2 linked regions of the Xenopus tropicalis genome follow. The protein of the gene in region 1 purifies or fractionates together with the protein of each later gene. This does not show direct contact. Links are inferred from orthologs where the notes say so. Each region holds a gene or a part of one and is shown in the gene's direction. Other genes may lie near its edges.

Evidence for each region.
Region 2: the proteins of mepce (region 1) and hnrnpul2 purify together in Homo sapiens (affinity purification with mass spectrometry; 3 studies listed by BioGRID and IntAct, with this or other methods). This does not show direct contact. The link is inferred for Xenopus tropicalis from reciprocal best matches to the Homo sapiens genes MEPCE and HNRNPUL2.

What each region holds. Positions count from the first base shown.
Region 1 is NC_030679.2:152,333,402-152,337,153, forward strand, and holds the start of mepce (7SK snRNA methylphosphate capping enzyme), read left to right. Parts: upstream 1-1,542; 5' UTR 1,543-1,689; intron 1,690-1,826; 5' UTR 1,827-2,071; coding exon 2,072-3,310; intron 3,311-3,752. UniProt on the Homo sapiens protein: S-adenosyl-L-methionine-dependent methyltransferase that adds a methylphosphate cap at the 5'-end of 7SK snRNA (7SK RNA), leading to stabilize it.
Region 2 is NC_030680.2:34,629,893-34,633,644, forward strand, and holds the start of hnrnpul2 (heterogeneous nuclear ribonucleoprotein U-like protein 2), read left to right. Parts: upstream 1-1,249; 5' UTR 1,250-1,339; exon of another isoform or gene 1,340-1,591; intron 1,592-1,610; exon of another isoform or gene 1,611-1,743; 5' UTR 1,744-1,751; coding exon 1,752-2,250; intron 2,251-3,752. Other genes in the region: ttc9c (tetratricopeptide repeat protein 9C), read right to left, coding at 1,017-1,082.

The sequences.
Region 1 (3,752 bases):
CTGGGTACTGGGAATGCCAGGGGGGCTGTAAGGTGCCACAGACAGTCACTATTTATTGGGCTGGGGGGCTGTTTGTGCCTCTGGGTACTGGGAATGCCAGGGGGGCTGTAAGGTGCCACAGACAGTCACTATTTATTGGGCTGGGGGGGGGGGCTGTTTGTGCCTCTGGGTACTGGGAATGCCAGGGGGGCTGTAAGGTGCCACAGACAGTCACTATTTATTGGGCTGGGGGGGCTGTTTGTGCCTCTGGGTACTGGGAATGCCAGGGGGGCTGTAAGGTGCCACAGACAGTCACTATTTATTGGGCTGGGGGGGGCTGTTTGTGCCTCTGGGTACTGGGAATGCCAGTACAGGGCTGTGGGTATCGTTGGTGCTGAGGCCGGTATTGCTGGCAGGTATAGTGGGTGGGTACTTCTAGGGGTGCCACCTGGCCAGTATGATGCCTGATGCCAGTGTTATTAATAGGAAAAATAAATAGCGGAAAGCCTTGATTTTTTCTCAGAAAAGGGGGCAACCATCGGCATTTCTGGTAAGTGTGGCGGATCTCTCTGGTAACTAAGGCAGGTATCACTGATAACCATTGCGGCAATTAACTGGTGGATATTGCTGGTAATCAGGGGAACTATAGCAGGTACATGGTGGGTATCTCTACTAACTGTGAAGGCTGTTGCTGATATTTGTTATTATGGCAGATACTAATATTGCTGTGGTAACTATGGTGGGATATGCCGGTATATAATGCAGATACTTGTCACTATGGCGGGGTATAGCCATATAGATTTATTTTTCCAAACCAGCCTGTCAGTTCTAAAACCAGCCCAAAACTAGCCAGAAGCCTCTTTGAAAGTAGCCCAAAAATAGCCCAATGTGCAATGAAAAAAAATCTAAAAATAAAAGTATATATGGGAAAACCTGCCTGTTTAAAGCGAATAATCACTATCTCATACCCTATAGAGTAGGGAGCAGAACATACAGGTTGAGCCTGAAAGAGCAAAAAGGAATAGAAAACAGAGCCTCTGGCTATACTGTCCCATTGCATGCTGGGTATTGTAGTTTTATATTAATCCTAGCTGCAGGCTATTTGTTAGATACAAACTACATTACCCAGCATGCAGTGGAACAAACTTTGGCTTGTTTCCAAACTACAAACCCGCCAACGCTTCAAAAAAATAGCCCAAATCTGTACCTTGGTGGGTTTGTACTCTGGAAACCCGTCAGGGCTCTAAATTAGTAGCCCAATGTGGCGGAAACCCCGCCAACCCTGACTAACCGTGACTAACCTGATAAATATGGCGGATATTTGTAATTATGGCAGATACTAGTATTGCTGGGGTAACTATGGCGGGTTATGCTGGTATAGCTTATACAGATAACTATGGTATAGCTGGGAATCATGCCGAATACTACACTTGGTAACTACGGCGGCTACTGCCGGTAACTGTCGTGAATACTGCATTTCGCGACACTATCGTAGCTCAGCCGGCCCCGCCCCCCAGGTGGCAACGTGCGACGTCATCCCGTTCATGTACACGCAGTGTGAGGCGCACTCTCGCGAGATGAGACTTGGGCGACTGGATTAGTTGTCCGGCAGGAGTGAGGGAGTCAGACGTCGCTCGGCGGTGCGGGAGTGGGAGGCAGGGAGCCGGCGGTGCGGAGAGTGTCCCGGGGAATTGGGGCCGTGCTGCTCAGGTAGGGCCATGAAACACCCGGCTGGGGGGCAATTGTAACATACGGTAGAATTTCGTTGCAGAGTGAGGGGTGCGGGCGGGGTGGGCTCCCCTATGTCTCCCCCTGCACCCCCTCATCTCTCTCTTCTCTCCCTCTAGGCTCCGCCTCTGACTGGGCGCTTCTGCAGGCGAGGAGGAGGAGCAACTGGAAAAGGGGCGTGTCCTGGCTGCCTGGGGGTGTGTGCTTCCAGTTGGGGGTCAGTATGGAGTTGGGGTTCCCCCAGTCACCCGGCCCCTGCAGGAGCCCCGAGGTATAAGCACCCAATAGTATAACAGTGAGGGCGCAGGGAGTTGTTGCTACGGAGAGAGTCGCCCCCCGCCCAGGTTCCGCCGGTGATGCCCCCATGCAGGTTCTGCTAGAGATGGCGGCCACCACGGAAAATCTGCAGCTACCAGGGGCAGCGGGAAGTACAGAGGGGGAGGCTACCACCTTCCTGGCTCCACCCCCTGCCCCGCCCCCGCCCAAAGCAGAACTGCAGCCCAAAGCCACAAAGGAAGGGGCGGAGCAGCAAGCAGCCCCCCGGGGGCCCCGCAATGGCTTCCAGGGGAAGAGGAGGAACAGCTTCAACGTTGGCTTCAAGCACCCGGTTCCGTTCAAGCGGCGCCGGAGGGTCAACTCGGACTGCGATCCGGTCCTGCCCTCCAACTTCCTGCTGGGGGGCAATATATTCGACCCCCTCAACCTGAACAGTCTGCTGGACGAGGACGTGAACCGCACGCTCAACGCCGAGACCCCAAAGTCGTCGCCTCTTCCGTCCCGGAACCGGGATCCAGTGGAGATTCTCATTCCTAAAGACATTACGGATCCGCTGTGCCTCAACGCCAGTTCCGGGGAGCTCCTACTGTCCCCCCTAAAGAGTAGGAAACGGCACCGGCACCGCCACCACCCGCCGACAGATGCACCTTCAAAGGCTCCCGGGGGGCCGGCTCAGGAAGCAGAGCCCGCCCCCGAGGAGCCGCAGCCATACGAACTGAACACGGCGATTAACTGCAGGGACGAGGTGGTGTCTCTGCCCGCGCTGGAGAGTGACCCGGCGGCGCCATCGGCCGGCGCTTCCGCCATATCTGCCTCTCGGCACCGCAAACGGAGAAGGACTTCCAGCAAATCCGAAGGGAAACACGGGAGCCCGGAGAGGAGTAAGAGCCTATTGGCCGAGGGGGCCGCCTTACGGCCGCACTGCCCCAAGTCTCGGGCCAAGGGCAAAACCAGATTCCAGTATGGGAACTATTGCCGTTACTATGGTTACCGGAACCCCAGCCAATCGGAGGACCCCCGCCTTCGTGCGCTGAAGCCAGAATGGTTTAGGGGGAAGGCAGTGTTGGACATTGGCTGCAATGTGGGTCACGTGACTCTGTGTGTGGCCAAGAACATGGGGCCCTCGCGTGTGGTGGGACTGGACATTGACAGGTCCCTAATAACCGCCGCGCGCCAGAACATTCGCCATTACCTGTCGGGAGAGACAAAGAGAGACGGTGGCTTTCCGGCCGGACTGGTCGCCACTCGGGGGCCCATCGCTGCCCCATCACTGCCCCCAACAGGCGGAGAAGGGAACGGCTTCCCACACAATGTGGTGTTTGTGCAGGTGAGACAGTCTGAGCGACTCCCCGAGATGTGACACCCCTGCACCCCCACCTTCTGCCTACCCGCACCCCCATCTTCTGCCTCCCTGCACCCCCACCTTCTGCCTCCCTGCACCCCCACCTTCTGCCTCCCTGCACCCCCACATTCTGCCTCCCTGCACCCCCACATTCTGCCTCCCTGCACCCCCACATTCTGCCTCCCTGCACCCCCACATTCTGCCTCCCTGCACCCCCACATTCTGCCTCCCTGCACCCCCACATTCTGCCTCCCTGCACCCCCACATTCTGCCTCCCTGCACCCCCACCTTCTGCCTACCCGCACCCCCACATTCTGCCTCCCTGCACCCCCACATTCTGCCTCCCTGCACCCCCACATTCTGCCTCCCTGCACCCCCACATTCTGCCTCCCTGCACCCCCACATTCTGCCTCCCTGCACCCCCACC
Region 2 (3,752 bases), on another chromosome or scaffold:
TGTGTCAGTCCATTCAGCTTGCAGCTCAGCCACTTGGATAACAGAATGGGACCCATAGGTGCGATGTAGTGTGGGATGTGGGATAGACTGATAGGAAGGGGTCTCACATACAGACACAAATCCTAGATGATGCAGAAATGTGTCAGCATTGAAACCTGGTGCCCCAACCTGCAGCCTTTGCTGAACTACACGTATCCTGCTGCTGTAGGAGAATGCTGGCATTCTGGTTAACTTAATAATGTTATTTATTTTTATAATACATATACGACTATCAAATAAAAAAAATCAGTACAGACTGACCCAGGCCTTCATATCTGCTCCCCTTTTAAATAGAATGTAAACCTTTACAATAGACTTACGTAAGATTAGTGAACATACAACATGTGCTTGGTTGCAATGCAGCTGAACTTATCAGCCACAGAATCTCTCTATCTGGGGCAATCCCTACCAATTATAATTAATACATGAACAGTGTGCAAACATATACGCTGTGCACACAAGTCTCTTGGCATAAGAAACGAGAATCTACCTGCTCAGCCATAATTCACACCCTGCTGCATGTTACTTCCTGCTTCCAGACTCCGCCCACAACTATGAAGCCGCCGTAGCCAGTGTCACGTGACGCGCACTGCAACTAACTTTACTTATACGCGATTTAGCAAAACAAAATGGTTTGCAAGGACTAAACTGATGATAATATGACAAATTTAAGACGAGCAATTATTACTTCTGGTCACAAAGTTACTTGCACAGAAAAATTACACTAAAGTAATTATCCGGTAATTGTATAGCATTAAGATAATTGAAAGCGCCGATGCGTCCCCTCCCCGTAAGACGGCATGTCTGAAAAGAAAAAAATGCTAACGCGATTTACTATTTGTAAACTGAATAACGACTGCTAAATGTAAACTATAAACAGCATTTTAATACGCTGAAACACTATTTCTTTGTAAAGCTAAGACAATACACGACCTCACTGAGTGACTAAACTACAACTCCCAGACATATTTAACAACCTGGGAGTCCCGTTGGATTCTGGGAGTTGTAGTTCTGCGAGTAATACGGAGCCACGTGCTTATCATAATTCGCCAATCAGAACACAAAACGTCACTGTTTATTTTTCTTTAGAATGAAAAGGGCGAAGCAGCGGGTAACTTAGCAGCCATCACAGGCTAGCCAATTAGGAGAGAGGCGATAGCGGCCCACTGGAGCAAATGATAACCAGCGCCTGCGGGAGACAGGTCTTTCCCTCAATTAAAGCCAACCAGGACCTGCCACGTCACTAAGGCGGAACAAAACCTTGCCGGGTAGACCAATCGGAGCGACGCACGTCACACAGGTGGGGTTCAGCGCTGTAAGCGGTTGTGTCTTTTGCAGTGGCGGCCAGTTTGTGTCAGGGAGGAAAACGAGCGCTTTACCGAGGTCCTGCAACAAGTTGGACGTGCTGCGTAAGTTTAATATATTTTTTTGGCCGCAGCCCACCTGGGAACGTCATCTTTACTGCAAGCGAGGCCGCTCGACGATTGGATCACCTCGTAAGCGCGCACAAAAAAAAGAGTCCCTGATTGGCCTCCCTTTCGCACCATAACAGGTAGCTGGGATCCACTCACTGTAAAAAAATCTTTCTCTTTTATCCTCTCAAGCTTCCGCCTTAGTGTTTCTTCCTGATCTACTTCCGGTTAGGGCTCACTTTTCCGCTTCCTGTAGATAATTTCCGCTTTGTTTCTCTGTCTTCTTAATCAGAACTGAGGATGAGCGGCCTGGATCCACGGAGGATGAAAGTGACTGAGCTGCGGGCTGAGCTGCAACGCAGAGGCCTGGAGAGCCGTGGATTAAAAGCAGAGCTGTGCGAGAGGTTGCAGGAAGCTCTCGATTCTGAACTCCTAGGGGGCGATGAAGAGAAAGGGGCTTTTATACAGGAAATGGCTGGGGGTGATGAAGAGCTGGCTCTGGAACTAGGGGACGAAGAGGATGAAGAGGAGATGCTACATGAAGGTCAGGAGGATGAGGAGGAAGATTTTAATCCAAATGAGGTGGAAGCAGTGGCAGCCCAGGAAAATGATGCTGTACCTGTAAAGAAACAACTTGAAGAGGAGACTGACTCACAGGCTGAGAAAATAGAACCCCCTCCTGTTGTAGAAGAGGAGGAATCTGATATGGGGGTCGAATCCCTAAATGGAGCAGCTTCAAAAACAGACCCAGGGGACTCGGTTGCAGAGGAGTGTGGGGACGAAGAAAAATCTGAAACGGGTAGGTCCAAATAATGGTTCACTTAGATCTTTCAAATTCCGTCCTTCCTTTTATTCTGTATAAGGACCTAGAAAATGTTGTGGTAGCTGAGTCTTATAAACTGTCTCTGCTTTTCACACTCTGGAGAACAGTATACTTGTGGGGTAAACAAGAGCAGAGCTGATTTTCCTAGGATTTTAGAGATACAGTGGTTTCCTCTTATCATGTTTAAGCTGGTCATTTATGCCCAGATTTGGTTAAGCAGTTTGGCTCATTTGGACAAAACTGCCGTCAATCTCCTTGTGTTTGTAATGTGAAATATTTAAACATTTTATGTGCTGATGCACCATGGTGGCATGGTAGTTCCAGTCAGTGGGGTTATTTAGGGCTGGGCGATATACCGTTTAATACCGAACACCAGTGGGTTTTTTTAAAAAAATTATATTCATTTTTCAGATACCGCAATACCGGGGTGTCAGGGTACTCACCCGTGCGGCCCGGTCTCGCGCGCCTCCTTGCGTGCGCGCGTCCCGTTGTCTGCGGGACGTTGCGCATGCGCGTCCAGGTGCGCACGTACATGTCAAAGCGTGCACGTCCGCAACACGCTGACGGCGCCGGTTCTGTGCATGCGTGGGGGGGTATTTAAAGGAACAGTAACACCAAAAAATGAAAGAGCTTTAAAGTAATAAAAATATAATGCACTGTTGCCCTGCACTGGTAAAACTGGTGTGTTTGCTACAGTAACACTACTATAATTTATATAATAAGCTGCTGTGTAGCCACGGGGGCAGCCATTCAAGCTGGAAAAAAGGAGAAAAGGCACAGGTTACATAGCAGATAACAGATAAGTTCTATAGAATACAATAGTGTTTTATCTGTTATCTACTATGTGCCTGTGCCTTTTCTCCTTTGAATGGCTGCCCCCATGGCTACATAGCAGCTTATTTATATAAATTATAGTAGACTTTCTGAAGTAAACACACAACTTTTACCAGTGCAGGGCAGCAGCACATTATATTTTAGTTACTTTTATACACTTTAATTTTTTGGTGTTACTGTTCCTTTAAAGCTATCAAACGCCTCCTCCTGTGCTATGTTGTCTGCGGCCTTGCCTGGGAAACTAAGCCTGCCTGATTTATCTTACGACTTTCTGTTGCCGATCCTTTGCTTGCCTGACTCTGATTTTCAATACTGCAGTAATTATTCTCTAATTTATTAGGAAATGGGGTTAACACCTAATCATGCATGGAAAAAAAAAATACAGTCAAATACCGTGACACCGATATAATTTTGAAAAATACCGTGATATAAATTTTTGGTCATACCGCCCAGCTCTAGGGTTATTGGCCAGAACAAGTAAAGCAATAGAAAAGCGGCCATACACGTGAAGAGTCAATCGTAACCTATCCAGCCATTTGGCTTCCCCCACGTGAGCTGGATACCAGTGAAGAACAGCAAGTGTATGGCCACTTAAAGGGTTTGGATTTTAAGAGCAAATGAAGTTCCTCCTTTGCAGGAGAATA